Schizosaccharomyces pombe: one gene and its partners. The gene in region 2 interacts genetically with the main gene of each other region. Each region holds a gene or a part of one and is shown on either strand. Other genes may lie near its edges.

Region 1 (4,835 bases), on a different chromosome or scaffold from region 2:
AATGATTTCTTTAAAAGAATTGGAAGAGATACTGCAGAAAAAGTGAACGGAAAATTCGAGTCTTGGGATGGTCTATTTAGGAAAAGTACAAAAACTATGAAAAAGGAAGGTATTGATGTACGTACAAGGAAATACATTGCAAGCCAAAGAAACCGATTTAAAGAAGGGTTTATAGTTAAGCCATATCCAGTTATGGTTAAAAAGAATGGAGGTGAGCGACGCAAACGTAAATAATAAGTATATGGAATATTATATTCTTTTGAGACATTCTTTCTTCTTTTTGTAGTTGAGTTTTTGCTTGAGTTCGAATTAATCTAAAATTTGCTTAAAATAGCCAACACTGTTCAAAGCATGTCTTTTCTCGACGAAGATGTGGAGCCTAGAACGCAAAGCCGATTAAACAATTGTCCATGAAACCATTTAGCAAATTCTGGAGAATTTTCCATTAGTGCGGAATTGGCGCTAGGGTATTGTCTCCCTCTTTCCAAGTTATTTTCATTTGTTTCGTTCACGGGCTTCCATTCCCACTCTCCTGCCCAGATTAATTTAGCTTCAATTTTTTCTCTAGTCCTAATATATAAAAAATTTTCTTTTAGCTCCATTAAGTCTACACCATCGCTAAATTCCTTTAGGACTGATGTATACTCAATAACTTGTTGATCATTGCCGGATACCATCCAAACTATACGTATAGTTGGTATTTCTATTTAATGGTTATAAATTTTTAACTTCAGCTGCACCTTAAATCGTTTGTTAGCAGATTCTTTTTGAGTATGTGTGCAAAGGTATTCGTTTGCGTTTGCGTCAAAGGGCTTGGTCAATTAGATGAGCCAACTGTGGTAAATTTTTATGTTAGGTTGATATCAATATGAACAGCAAATTTACTCTAAATGTGTACTTAAAGGCATAAGGAATATTTATACTATGTCATTAATCTTCTAGTACTAATCTTGGGCATTCGTTTCTTTTGGCATGGAAATTCGCTGTCGCGTTATCACAAGCCCTGGAGAACTAATTTCTTTGACCGCATTAGTTGTGTTGAGTGATTCCTCATCATTTTTGCCTATTTTTTTTAACTCTAAACTTTCATGCTCAGTGAATACATCATCGAAATCTTTTGCATCCTGGATGGATCGTTTAATTCTTTTATCGCGGATTTGCATGTAACTAACAATACAAGAGCTAACAAAGACTATTCCTCCTACCACCAGCAAACCAATTAATCCTTTTATAAATCGAGGCGTATCAGTATTGGGATACATTATAGGTGCCCACCAAATATGCCAGATATTCTGACACATATTCATCAAAAACACAACAACTCCTCTTTCCTGATCATTATCCCGGCAAATGTCATTTGCCCAAGAAAACCAAACTGCTTGTCCAGCATATGTACAACCAGAAGCGAAATAAGCAAAGAATTTTGCGCCATCTGGCACGTTCCATGCTAGAAGTATTGTAGCAGAAACAGTAGTAATTACGCACAGAAAAAGTCCAAAAGGCCATCTTGGGTTTCCAGCTAATTTATCAGAAATAACACTAGCACCTAACGTTGATACTACGCCAACAGCTGTAATCACAGTTGGGTAATTATTTATTTGGGCAACAGAAAATTTGTTGCTCCATTTCATCCACTGACCCATCAATACATTGACAGCTATAGCTTGTGTTTCTCCGCTAAAAATCCAAAGGATGCACAAACCGTAAATTCGCCATGAACGTACAATATCCTTTATCGCTTTTAGCGTTAATGGCTTCTTCTTGGGGCGAGCGGGTAGCCTTTTGAAACTTAATTCTTTTTCTTGTTCTGTAAAATAAGGAGCCTTGGTTGTTTCTGGAACGTCAGGAAACAGAAAGAGCCCATATAATGAAAGAGGAATCGTCAAAATGCCATCAATTATAAAAAGCCAACGCCAACCAGATAAACCACCTTTACCATTTAATGATGAATGAACTGCTGTTTGCAAATACCCAGCAAACATTGTGCCGACTAAACCAGAGGCTGAAAAAATTCCGGCACGTTTGCATAGTTCACTTTCTTTGTACCATGCGCCCAATATATAATGCGTACCAGCAAATGTAGATGCCTCCGCAACCGCCATGAAAAAGCGTAAAATCATCAATGCTCGAACGGAATGTACCGCAAATGAAAAAATCGTCATAAGTCCCCATAAAATATTCATAACCGAAAACCAAAGTCTTGCTGGTACTCTCTGTAATGCATAAGAACCTGGCAATTGTCCTATAATGTATCCACATGTAAAAACAACGTTTATATCTTGCAATTCATTACCATGCATTTTCAAATCCTCTTGCATACCACTAAGGTATGCATTGTTTATTGATGATCTATCCAAGTAATTAATAAAATATGAAACGCAACAGTAAGAAAGTATGAACCAATCTATTTTTATTAAAAGCTTTTGTTCAACTTTGTTTAATCCATAATAAGGGGAAAAGGTTTTTGCCAACCTATTTAGTAACGCCATTACGACTTGTCTCACTTATGAAATATTCACGACAATTTACAGAGGAGACCTAACTTAAATTTTTATGGCTTTAGAAAACGTACAATTTCAATGGATTCTCATGAAAAGTGCCTATATTAAAGTAAAGCCAGGGACCTAAGCAAGGAACAAACACTTCGAGTCAAAATCGAATTGCAGACTGTTGGAATATCAATATGCTCCAGCCAGGAAAATTTTTTCTTTAATTTTTCTGAAAAATCAAGATTATAAGTATCGATCGAGCCTTCTAAAAAGTGACAATATCAATGCCGGAAACCCAATCTTAATTTTTAGATGTGCGCTGATTACTCGGAATTGGCTAGCAAGTTGGATACTTATTCTCGACGTAGCCACAATGAGTACTATACTTTGCTGCTCTATTTGTGGAAATTAACTGTATTGCAAAAAACATCTAACCTTTCAATTAATAAGCATTCGGTTCAAGTGGCTACAATACAATAACCACTATTTGCGAGATTAAACATACTATTACAGTAACCAACACATTTGAAATGTAAAAAATTGCCATAGTTGAAGCTATTCAGCGTCAGCGAACATCTTCGGAGAGCTCAAATAATCTTAGCTCTTAAGATGGGGGTTTTTTCTGCCGAATACTGTATCTGTTTGACTTTTATTTTTAATACGTTGGAGTAACCGCTGTATTCTTGTGCAACTTGGTGTTTTTGAAATTAACAATGGCACTGTTGATGAACGAAAGTGAATTATAATACATTTTTTGACAGTACCAATCTTATGGAAGTGCCTTGAAATCCTGTTACGTTACGTTTTAGCAAGATCGCTTCTCTTATGATTTTCTTGTTTCAATGGTTTTCTACCCATAATCAATGAAATATGTTTACAAGGGTTACGAGTTTTGTAAAGCAAATGCACTTTAAAAATTGACCAGAAACTTCCATATATTAGAACCAAAATTTTTTGGAATACATTTTAACATAGTAAATTAAAATAAGCCGTTTACTTATTCTAATTTACAGAAGCGCTTCTATAATGTTTAAGTAACGAACGTTTTTGTCACCCAACACCACCCAACTTCGTATCCCAAGATTTATAACTTGTTCGGACAAACATCGTTGGTAAAGACTTGCATCGTTCATTACAGAACGAATTTTATTATTTATAGTTCACATTTGTGAATCTTAAGATGCAATGTCTGCTGAGGGAAAAGCCAAGATCCTTGGCCTTAGTCAATAAGGACCATGCTCTTATGTTTCATTCGGTTCCTCAGAACAAAAACTCTTTATCAGTATGTGTTGCAGAATTTACGGCATTGTCAGAAAAGCCGTTAGAAGGATTTCGAAAAATCTCCAGTCATCGAATTTATGGTACTCTAGGTCTGATTGAATTAGAAGGGTCCAATTTTTTGTGCGTGATTAGTGGAGCTAGTGAGGTAGCACGTGTGCGAGATAAAGAAAGAGTTTTTCGTATCATGGAGGTCTGCTTTTACAGTGTTAATCGTTCAAACTGGGATCACATTCGACAAGAAAATTACTCGCCTGATATTCCGGATGGTTACGATACCGATACCCAAGGCTATGATTCTTACAAGTATGCCGCTGAACCATTCAGTAGTCTCAGAAAGCTATTAACAAATGGATCATTTTACTTTTCTCTCGATTTTGACATTACTACCCGACTGCAACTTCGTACGTCTCAAACAATGACGGAGCCTCAATATGATAGCATGCATACTCAATTTATGTGGAACGAATTTATGCTTAGACAGTTGATCAAATTTCGCTCCCATTTGAATGGGGATGAAAAGAGTGCATTGGATGGATGTCGCTTCTTTACATGTGCCATCAGAGGTTTTGCGAGCACCGAACAATTTAAGTTAGGAATTCAGACTATTCGGCTTTCTTTAATATCTAGACTGTCTTCGCTTCGCGCTGGTACCCGATTCTTGTCACGTGGCGTAGATGATGATGGAAACGTTGCTAACTTTGTTGAGACGGAGACAATCCTCGATTCCTCTAAATACTGTGTAAGCTATTGTCAGGTCCGTGGCAGTATTCCAATTTTTTGGGAACAAGAAGGTGTTCAAATGTTTGGTCAAAAAATTGATATAACTCGCTCTTTAGAAGCAACTCGAGCTGCTTTTGAAAAACACTTTACCAGTCTTATTGAAGAATACGGACCAGTGCACATAATCAATCTTTTAGGGACAGGTTCGGGAGAACGCAGTTTATCTGAGCGTCTGAGACAGCATATTCAACTTTCTCCGGAAAAAGATTTAATACATTTAACGGAGTTTGACTATCATTCTCAAATTAGATCCTTTGAAGATGCCAATAAAATACGCCCAATGAT
Region 2 (3,719 bases):
AAAGTTTATGATTTCTCTGAGCTTTCCCTTCCCACCAACGGTAAAGACTATGATGAGTTATACCTTCAATCTTCCCGTAATTCAGAACCTGAGATTTCTACTATTATCAATGATTCTTTACAACAGGAAAATATGGATGAGGATATTAGTGCCACTTCAATTCCGAAATCTCAGGCCGCCTATGGTCATGGATCTGTAACGTATCATGAAGTCCCCAGATACAATCTAACTTCTGCTTCCGTGGGATATAGTATATCTAGTCAACGTGGTCGTATAAAAAGCAGTTCTACCATTGACAATTTGAGTGCTATTTTAAGCTCTGAAGATTTACGTCACCCATCAATGCAACCCGTACCAGGAACGAAGCGTACTTATAGTAATTATTGTGAAAATGAGCCAAACAAGTCTAGCCAAAGTTTAGTCAGTTCTGAGTCCCATAACGTCGAAGGATGGAATTATTCGGAAACTGGTACAGTAGGTTTTTACGACCCTAGTGCCGAGATATCCGCCAGCATTGATGAACTTAGGCAGTCTACGCCTGTAGCCAGAGATAGCGAACTTTTAAGTCGTGCACATTCCTTTGATTTGAATCGCCTTGATCTTCCAAGTCAGGATAAGAGTACGTCTTACGAAGTCCCGAATGGTACTGAAAATCAATCACCACGTCCTGTTACTTCTCTTGGATTTGTGAATGAAACATTTTTTGAAGAGAAACCAAAGGCGCCCTTGCCACTTGGTCGCTTTTATATACATTTGAACAGCATTTTGAATATTTCGATAAGTGAAGTCCATTCACCTATCAAGATAATAGTTAATACGCCTACGCAAAATATGCAGCTTCCTTGGCAAGCTGTTAATGGGAATAATAGGTTGGACCATGATTTTGCTTTTCATGTTGACGATAACTTTAAAGTGAGTTTTATGTTTCTTGACATCCCTATTGAGGACAAGTCCAACGGTTCGAAAGGAGTATCTGCTACAAAAGACGTTTCAAACGGTAAGCCTGCTGAAACGAAATCCAAAGCTAGGAAATTTTTTGACAAGCTTTTCAACCGACGCAAAAAGAGAAAACTCAACAAGGCTGCTGCAGTTGAGAATTCAAAGGCTAAGAAGTCAGTGGTTATCAAGAAAGTCTCGGGTACTGCTACGTTAAATTTGGGTAATGTCAAAGACAGTTGTTTTGGAAAGGCTTTCAACGTAGAAATACCCATCATTTCCAGAGGCTTCTTGGAAGCGATTCCTGTAAAAATAAACTCTATAGGGAAACGTACACTTGGTAATCTAACTTTGACTTGTTTGTATATTCCTGAGCTTTCGGTTCCAGAGCAGGAATTGCCATTTACCTTAGAACAAGCTACGATGGACTTGCGACACGTTAGAAGTAACTATCTATATAATGAGGGATACTTGTATAGATTGGAAGATTCATCTATTCGAAGACGTTTTGTCGTTTTACGCTCAAAGCAGCTGAATTTTTATGCTGAAAAAGGTGGGCAATATTTGGATACTTTTCAGCTTTCTAAGACAGTAGTTTCAATCCCAATGGTAAATTTTTCAGAGGCAGTTTCAAACCTCGGTCTAGTAGCTGGAATATTGGCTACATCTGTTGATAGAAGGCATGTTCAGTTGTTTGCGGACTCTAAAAAGGTTTGCCAAAAATGGCTTCAGGTGATGAATTCACGCTCGTTTGCTCTAGATAGGGGTACTGAGAAATTATGGTTACAAGAATACGTGAATTTTATGGCTTAATATCTGAATTTATGAATACTAATCGTCTTAATGTATTTTTTGAATAATTTTTACTTATCGGATTTACTAAATGAGGGAGTTGAACTGAAATTATATAACTACTGAATTAATACTTATAGATCATTTTTCATTTTTAATCTGAATAATTAATCAACTTTTGGTTTTTTGAATATACTCTATAATGAGTAAAGTAATATAAAGGTGTTTTGTGTTGGCTAAATTTACATTACCTATATTTTGCCGTACGCACTCTAAATTGTTACAATAATATAGGGGTCAAGCAACTACTCAAATCACATTATTTAAAGGAGATGCAAAAACAAGATGATTTTTCATTTAAATATTGGACTATCAAAGTCCAACGGGGGTCAATTTTAAAAAGCCATGAGATGGAGAACCTTCAAAGTACATTGGGTTTTCCACCTCCTGAGATGACCTTTGGGAATAATTACATCTCAATTGAATACAAGAATCAGCCTGTAGTTGGATTTTTTACTGAAGATGCTCTTAAAATGGTTGGTACCAAACCTGAAGATGTAATGCAAGTTTCTTTTGCAAAAGACTGGGCCAAATCCAGAATTAAGCCCGGAGAAGAATACCCTGTGATTTACCCATTTGATTGGACTTATTATACTGATTATCAGGGAACTATACAACGTCCAAATGCAAAATTCATTGAAATTGATCAGGTAATACCTGTTCAAAAAATACTTAACGCAGGACAAAATTTATGGTTCAATGAGATAATTCTTTTCGAAGATGAGTTAGCAGATAATGGAAAATCAATGTTTGATGTGAGAGCTCGAGTTGTTCAGGGTCATTTAATATTGTTAGCACGCCTTGTCGTACGTTTAGACAAGGTAAATGTTCGATTGAATGAGACGAGGATATATATTGATTTGTTGAATGATTTTCTCTTGAAGGACTGCCGTAAAAAGCAAGCTACTTACGACAAAATTATTAAACAAATACCTGTGGGGGGAGACAAAGCTGCATTGCTAGATGATAACAATTGGTTAAGTGAGCGCCTTGATACCGTTGACCATAAAATCTATAAATTGAATTTTTGATGCTAAAATGATTCGCTAATGGCAGACATGAGAATTTAGAACTTTTGTCAACGAATGAGTGTTGAAGCAATTTACAAGTTTATTACGTTTAGTTCATGGTAATATTTATAATCATTTTCAACTAAGAGGTTATTAATTTAGGTTTTCTAATTGAGAAAGCAAAATAAATAGATACAATCTTTGGTACGATTAAACGGCGAAGATATACTACTGAAACTGCAAACAAATTTAAAATGGTCCAGTAAATTTTAGAGTATACTTAATTAGGAAGAATGATGGCCTCGTAATATTGATCGTTCGTTATAACATTGTATTTGGCAATCAACCTGTCACAACCTCTCTTCCCCTTTATATTGTACGACATTAATCGATCCGTTTTTTATTTCAACCCAACTCCTACGTATTTATTTGCAGGTAATAATTAATTTTATTAATTAAGAAAAGATTATCAAAAGATCCTTATCGTCATTCAGTAATGAGTCGCTGCTGTTTAAATTTGCCATTGAGACCAGCATTTGTTAAGCAGCCGGTATGGGGGAAGAGTATATACGGTCCCTTAAGAAGAAGATTTTCATTTTCTCCAATAAATGTTATTAATCATTCACCTTCGGAAACGAAGAGAAGAGACCCAGTAGAAGAACTCAGATACAAACCCCTTACACCTCCTCAAGATCCACGTAAAGTGGCTCCGCCAAATAGTTTTCTAAAGAAAATAAGTCTTATTTATCAAAAATATATCTCTCCTAAACAAAATTTATATTATGAGGCTACTGGTACTGCAAGATACATGTATTTTGAGGCTGCTCGACAAGCTACCCCCGAAAAAAACTCGCTAGGTGCTTTTGAATTTTGGTACCAGAAGTGTGAAATTCCTATGACATTTCAGTCTTGGTTTCAAAT
Region 3 (3,558 bases), on a different chromosome or scaffold from region 2:
TTGGTCACTAACACTTTTGTACACAGAAGAAACAAATTCCTTAGGTCTGCCCCTAACCTCCTTTTTGAATAGCCTGAAATGACCGAGTTGTCGTTAATTCAGATAGTAGTATTCAATTGGGTTCTTAATCAATGTTAAAAGATTTATAAGTGTAACTGATGTATAAATTTCAATTTGTGAAATAGGCATACCAAGAATTGGAAAAAAAAGTAGCTTAGTATTACGAATTTGAATGGCTAAGATACATCAGTTAATGCTTGGCTTACGATCACTAAAAGAGCAAAAAAGTCTAAGAATTTGCTGTACGTGCATATTCCTTTCATAAAAAGTGGAAATTCAAGATGGTTTTAGTAGAATACTTTAGTAACGGGAATCACAAAAATTTTTTTAAAAAATATTTTATCCTAAGTAATAAATAAACAAAAGAATTTTGCTAAACATGTTCAGCAAAGTGTTAGAAATTTTTAAGATAGAGACATTAGGTGGACAATATAAGAAAAAAGTTCATGAAAAAGGACATTATAAATAAAGTTGTATGCAAACGCAAGCATTTCCACACTAGTTCAGTCAAGTTTCGGGATTTAGTAAACGAAACAGATAAAAAACGAACCTAAAGGTTACCAATTCCAATGGGAATAGCCAGTAATCTCTTATGCACTTATTTAAGGTGATTGTGCAGGTAACTCTAATTTGTCAATAAACCGTAGTGCATGCGTTCAAGTTACTTTCAAAAATGCTTTAGAGTTACTTGAAATTTTTGTAATAGTATCCTCAAAAGTCCAGGACTTAGCTTCTGACATAACGTTCAAAGATTGTCGAACTAATTCATCGATTTGGCTAGCACTGTGATGATCACTCTCTGCCAATAGCTTATCGTCGGGAACGCCTTTAAGTGTTTGAATAAAATTTTTATAACGACTATTTATACCTATTGAAAAAGAGTAGTAAAACTCGGTCGGAACTTTATGGGCTGAAAACTGAGAAATTTGCTCAATGCTACCAGAGTAGCTATGAAGGCAAATTTTGGGAGGGTAATGCTTTCGTTCTTCAGCAAGAGAATTTTCGTACTCTTCTTTCTTCATCTTTCGTATTTTCGTTTTGGAAGGAATCCAGCGACCATCCCAAAATTTAGCTAAACTGCTATACAAAAGAGCATACGTCTGAACGCAGTGAACACTAACAGCACGTTGGAATTCTGCAGCAAGACGCACTTGTGCTTCAAACACTTTACATTGATGTTCCATTTTTACGTAAAATGGTGATAGAGGTCCTTGAGGAAGTGAGGACCTTGCATCATATGGGCCAACTGGCAATCGAAATGGCTTATCCAAGCCGATTTCGCCAATGAGAGCGTTTGGGTACTGTTTAAGATGTCGACGAGCGTCCTCCAAAAATTCTGAAATCGGGACTGGGTTGGGAAGAGCATTGATAAAATCTTCATCAGGTATTGGAGTCAATATTTTTTCGTAATGCTTCTTTTTTCTCGTTTCACTACTTTGCAAATCTTTATCCAAATCATCGTACAAATAATAAGAAAACCATGGATGTATCCCAAAACTAGGTATTACTTTACCAGGGTATTCTTTCGCAAGTTGTTCGACATACTTTTGATCTGTCGGCCGGGTTCCCATTACTATTAATTTACCAACAGAAAGATTAGCAACCAAATGTAATTCTTGCGGTGCATCAGTTGGATGGCAATGAGCGTCAATGATAGATTCCATAATGATATTTGTAGTTAACAGAATGCTCTCTGCCCACCGTACTTTAAATAGTTGGGATAGGGAGAGTAACGTTGGAGTTGACGAAAACATGTGTATGCTAATGAAATTCAACAACTTCATTCGTTTCCCCATTGTTTGGTAATTACTTGATGACATAAAGATAAAACTTGAATATTACAGTCGTCTTCAATTTAATTAGTCTACTGCAAGCTCAAGGGCAGATACCTATTTCGTTGACTAGTTCCTCCATGTGACCACCTTACCAATAATATTTTCAAATTTATTTATTAGTGTTAGCGTCTAGGTAATTTGAGAACATACGATAAAATACATCTTGAATATCTGTTTATGGGAGAGGCAAATTATTCTATTTTTTGTCTGTAGTACCACATTTTTCCTAACCTCCACCCCGACGGTTTCATTCACCATACTTTGATCAAATTAATTTGGAACGAACGGTTCTTCTTTTATATCTCCTATAATAGAAAATAAATTACAATGAGTGAAGAAGAATCTCCGTATCAATTGACAAAGACTTTCTCGAATCCGAAGAATAACAAAATTGGACTAGCTATTTTCCTTATTGGAGCATTTATCAATTTAATTCACATTTATAAGCCCAAGGGTCCTTCTAACAATCCCACGAAACGGAATTATCATATTTCATTTGGACCCCCTGGTAAAATTCGATGGTTTCCTTTGGGTATTCGTAAAGAAGTTCGTAGCAATGTGTCAGGCCGTGAGATCATCATTAAGATGATAATCACATTCATACTTGTTCAGACCACATTGATTACTTTAGATCTTTATGTTTTTGGCGCGACTGGTCTAGGTTTAATTCTTTCATGGAAACTATTCGAAGTTGCTTGCGCAAATCCTGAAGATGAGGCTCTACTGGCTGAAAGAAAACAGCGCTTAAAAGAACAACGAGAAAAGAAAGAACAAAAGAAGGAGCAAAAGAAAGAGAAAAAAACCGAGAGGAGGAAAAAGAAAAAGTTGTAGAAAAATAAATCTGGATTATGTTTGTTTTACTTTAAGAGATATAGTGCGGTAGGTTAGCCATTCTGCTTTGATCATTAGTATATCAGTAGGATCTACAAGTGTCACAATATGTAATGGTATTTATTTACATTTAAAATTTAAATATACTAATACTGCCTATTGGTCGGAAAAGAACGCAATGTATTTATCATCCCGTATCGACCTAGCAAAAATAGAAGCACTAATAGCTGAGTATTTAAGGCTTTCCAAAATTAATTCATAAAAATAAAAAGGATCGAAAAGACTTAATTACTCTTCGGCAACATGATAAGATGTTTTTCTCATATCAAAAAGACGACGTCGGGCAGCGACTAAATCATTTTCCAACTTCAAAATTTGCACCTGTTGCTCAATTTCTTTACGACGATATTCATGAACACCCAATGAAGAGAAGTCTTCATGCTGCACCTCTTTAGCTTTGAGAGCAACAGACTCCACTTGACGAACCAATGCCTTACAGGCCTCCGTAACAGCTTTCGCAGCATCCTCAAGATGATCTTGAACCTTAGAGGCGAAATTTGCTTTTACACGAGAGGCTGCAACCAATTGTGCAGTTGCGGCGCTAACACCATTACATGCGACAATCAAATGCTCAAAACTAGATGTACCGTTTACGACTCCATCAGCAGTTTCGATTAAAGTAGTTGTAGCACGCGCAACGGCTTTCGCAGCTGATATAAGGCCTTCCGTCCAGCGGTTATGTTTTTTATAAAATGCACCACGTGAACTGGAACCTCTTCCTTGAGCAACAATCTCTGCCTGTGAAGCAGTTGCTGCTTTAATTAATCTGGCA
Region 4 (3,764 bases), 590 kb from region 2:
CTTATAACGATGATTATAATATTGTTTTTAATTAACATACCGCGTACCGCTATGTTGTAGATCGCAAGTAAAGCTCACCGCAGTGCTTTGTATCATTAAACAGATATCAAACTGCGTAGCTAACACGATATGGGTTTTACCGATTTGCGTTGCGGTTCAGTAGATTGTTTCGGATATCAAAGTGCGAGTTTTACGTAAAGAAGATAAGAATTGGAGCCGCTAGTCGCAAATCTGAATCTTATAAAAGGGTGGGTAGTCCTAACGAACAGCACTCCTCTTTCGCACACTCTTCCTGAGCTAAATTGAAAGCTAATTTACAATCATTTTTAGGTAAGTAATCTATACGGATAACCGGAGGTTTCGTTATACTTGTTTACAGAAAATCACGGCACTTTGATACGGCGTTTATGGTAAAAAAACCGGAGAACTCCCCAATGTGGATTATGCATCGTTAAAGCGCTTTAGTTGGTACTTTTGTTTGTACAGGGATTGTAGCGAATTGAACTGCTGAAAGTGATTAATATATGTATAGTTGTTACAATACAATATCATCCATTAGAAATTCTTCTATATTGTATGCAAAAGTGCATGCAAGCATATATTAATCCAATATGGTACTGTTTAACTTCAATCCTCTAATACTTGATTTGCCTGTTACACTGTATTTTCCCATTGTAACTGCTTTTAATTTTTTACTCTACCTCTAATCCGTTAATGACATTGCCAATTAGGGTTCAGACTGCTAACTTGCTTCTAATATTTAGATATAAATTATTTGCGCACTCGTTTCCCCCTGCTTCGCGTTTTAAATTCGCAGTCTAATTGCCCTTTCTCCTTCTACTCAACCATTGCTCTCTCGATTTCTCTCCTTCCCGTTTTTAATATAAACAATGACTAAGGAAAATAAGCCAAGAGATATTGTCATCGTTGGCGCTGGCGTTATTGGATTGACCACTGCTTGGATTCTTTCAGACTTGGGTCTTGCTCCTCGTATTAAGGTGATTGCCAAGTATACGCCTGAAGATCGTTCTGTAGAATACACTTCCCCTTGGGCTGGCGCAAATTTCTGTAGCATTTCTGCTACTGATGACAATGCTTTGCGCTGGGATAAAATCACTTACCATCGTTTCGCCTACTTGGCGAAAACTCGTCCTGAAGCAGGAATCCGTTTTGCTGATCTTCGAGAATTGTGGGAGTACGAGCCGAAACACGACAAAATCAGATCCTGGAATACCTATGTCAGAGATTTCAAAGTTATCCCTGAAAAAGATCTTCCAGGAGAATGTATCTACGGACATAAGGCCACCACCTTTTTAATCAACGCTCCTCATTACTTGAATTATATGTACAAGCTGCTCATTGAAGCTGGCGTCGAATTTGAAAAGAAAGAATTGAGTCACATCAAAGAGACTGTCGAAGAAACTCCAGAAGCTTCAGTAGTATTTAATTGCACTGGTCTCTGGGCTTCCAAATTGGGTGGCGTTGAAGACCCGGACGTTTATCCGACTCGTGGACATGTTGTTTTGGTTAAGGCTCCTCATGTAACAGAAACTCGCATTTTGAATGGCAAGAACTCTGATACCTATATTATTCCTCGTCCCTTAAATGGTGGAGTCATTTGCGGCGGTTTCATGCAACCAGGAAACTGGGATCGTGAAATTCACCCTGAAGACACTTTGGATATCCTTAAGAGAACATCGGCTTTGATGCCAGAATTGTTCCACGGCAAGGGTCCGGAGGGTGCTGAAATTATTCAAGAATGTGTCGGATTCCGTCCTTCTCGAAAGGGTGGTGCCCGCGTAGAGCTTGATGTTGTTCCCGGCACCTCAGTCCCCCTTGTTCATGATTACGGTGCTTCTGGCACAGGATACCAAGCTGGTTATGGTATGGCTCTTGACTCTGTCATGTTGGCTCTTCCTAAAATCAAATTGGCTTAGGTTTATTTTTTTATCACGTTTCATATTTTTTAGAGCATTATCTCCCCTCTTTTTATTAGGATAATTGGTCGCTTCATTTGAGGTAGTTTTTATACCAAATTTCGAACCATGTTTTATAGACTTAACGGATTTGTTAAAACGCATTTCAATTCTACGATACACGTGTACAAGTAGTTCATTAGCTTTTGAGAGTTGCTAAATCATGAGGATGAAATAGCATTAGAATGTTGTACATTACCTTTACGTTTTTTGACGATTATTTAAAAAAATTTACATCTTTTGAGAATAATCTGAAAGACTAAAGTGCTTGGCATCCTTAATGCGAGCAAGTAAGGTTCCTTTCCTTCCGTGCCCTTGTTGTAGAAGCATTAAAATAGACTGAGCTTGATTCATATTAACGGTGGCATCTTTGTAGCTTAATTAGTAATTTTTGGGCCTTTAAAGAAGTTTTTCAATCCTCAATCGCAATATCCTAAATTCACCTATCCGCGACCAGCCTACCGTTTGCATACCACAGGTTTTGGGTAACTATCTAAACCAACTGTGAGGGAATTTAATTGTAATAGTTTATTCATTTTATATTATTTTATTTTGCTTTAATCACAATAATTTGATTAATCAGCTGCTTTTCGTCAGCTCATACAAATTACCAAGAGAAAGGAAAGCTTACATCCCATTATGGCTAATAGAAAGATTTTTCTTATTACATCTCTTATAATATCGTTATTGCTTATTCATATCTTCATATTCAGTCCACTGAATGAACCTGAGAAAAATGCAAAGGCAGGACCTTTAGGTCTTTCAGATGTCTCAGTGCCATCTGCTCCTAAATTACCTGCTAAGGATTCAACAGATTTTGAAGTATTTCTTGAAAACCCTGTTATCATTTTTAGTCGTCCTGGATGTCCTTATAGTGCTGCAGCTAAAAAACTTCTAACAGAAACCCTTAGATTGGATCCTCCAGCAGTGGTTGTAGAAGTCACCGACTACGAGCATACTCAAGAGTTAAGAGACTGGCTTTCTTCCATTAGCGATATATCTACAATGCCCAACATCTTCGTTGGTGGTCATAGCATCGGTGGATCTGATTCGGTCCGTGCTCTGTACCAAGAAGAAAAACTTCAGTCTACTTTGGATGAATGGACACATAATAAAGTTTTAATTTTACCTACCGACTAATTTTAATTTTTCAATATATGTTTTGATGCAATTTATTAATTACAATTTATGTTAAATCGATTACCCTTGGAAGTAACTCAATAATTATACTAGCCAAGTATGCTATAGCTTCTTTAAACCACCAACCACTACTCCAAACTATCCAGCTAAGCAACTTAGAGAGTAAAGCATTCATTGCATATATATTTAAAAAATTTGAATGCAATAATATATTCTTATTGTTACATTGGTCAATTTATTTGCATGGCGCAAGCTCCTGAATACCACTATGTAGGTAGTGTAGACTACCAACCGACGAGGCCTTCTGCCCATCAGAATTTAATAGAGCTTTATGGTCTTACGGAACTTGCTAAAAAGGTTGGACGTGTCGATGAATTTGGTAACAAGAGAAAGATGCGTCGTTCGTACAAGGCTTACATCCAAGACTTGCCAGGTTATAATGAAATTCTTCGTGATAATACTATAAAACAATGGCTTACAAACCCTATTCGAGAAGAAGTTCCTATTGACATTGAATTTTTACATCATGTGTTCTCTGTAGAGCCAGGCATTATTCCAGGTTTTAATCCTAAAGTGTTTGGCCTTGAAGACGACGTTGTAATGGGCAATGTTAGTCGTGATTCCTCTCAACCTCGTAGTCCAAGTCGT

Evidence for each region.
Region 1: mutations in tip41 (region 2) and liz1 together harm fitness more than expected from each alone (negative genetic interaction), as found in Schizosaccharomyces pombe (one large-scale study listed by BioGRID).
Region 3: mutations in tip41 (region 2) and SPOM_SPAC688.12C together harm fitness less than expected from each alone (positive genetic interaction), as found in Schizosaccharomyces pombe (one large-scale study listed by BioGRID).
Region 4: mutations in tip41 (region 2) and grx3 together harm fitness less than expected from each alone (positive genetic interaction), as found in Schizosaccharomyces pombe (one large-scale study listed by BioGRID).

The regions. Positions count from the first base shown.
Region 1 is NC_003423.3:3,433,884-3,438,718, forward strand, and holds liz1 (plasma membrane pantothenate transmembrane transporter Liz1), read right to left. Parts: upstream 2,695-4,835; 5' UTR 2,490-2,694; coding exon 945-2,489; 3' UTR 895-944; downstream 1-894. Other genes in the region: fyv4 (mitochondrial 37S ribosomal protein mS41 ), read left to right, coding at 1-234; SPOM_SPBC4B4.12C (uncharacterized protein), read right to left, coding at 345-677; syj1 (inositol-1,4,5-trisphosphate 5-phosphatase 1), read left to right, coding at 3,670-4,835.
Region 2 is NC_003421.2:1,145,483-1,149,201, reverse strand, and holds tip41 (TIP41 type 2a phosphatase regulator Tip41), read left to right. Parts: upstream 1-1,972; 5' UTR 1,973-2,060; coding exon 2,061-2,819; 3' UTR 2,820-2,987; downstream 2,988-3,719. Other genes in the region: anillin-related medial ring protein Mid1, read left to right, coding at 1-1,749; ubiquinol cytochrome-c reductase assembly protein Cbp3, read left to right, coding at 3,295-3,719. UniProt on the Schizosaccharomyces pombe protein: Involved in negative regulation of the TOR signaling pathway in response to type of available nitrogen source. Activates the PP2A phosphatase ppa2.
Region 3 is NC_003424.3:3,137,890-3,141,447, reverse strand, and holds SPOM_SPAC688.12C (uncharacterized protein), read left to right. Parts: upstream 1-2,123; 5' UTR 2,124-2,222; coding exon 2,223-2,726; 3' UTR 2,727-2,774; downstream 2,775-3,558. Other genes in the region: scn3 (TatD DNase family Scn1), read right to left, coding at 717-1,724; clathrin adaptor End4, read right to left, coding at 3,015-3,558.
Region 4 is NC_003421.2:1,734,779-1,738,542, reverse strand, and holds grx3 (CIA machinery monothiol glutaredoxin Grx3), read left to right. Parts: upstream 1-2,436; 5' UTR 2,437-2,615; coding exon 2,616-3,116; 3' UTR 3,117-3,264; downstream 3,265-3,764. Other genes in the region: dao1 (D-amino acid oxidase), read left to right, coding at 891-1,937; rox3 (mediator complex subunit Med19), read left to right, coding at 3,360-3,764. UniProt on the Schizosaccharomyces pombe protein: Monothiol glutaredoxin involved in the biogenesis of iron-sulfur clusters. Binds one iron-sulfur cluster per dimer. The iron-sulfur cluster is bound between subunits, and is complexed by a bound glutathione and a cysteine residue from each subunit.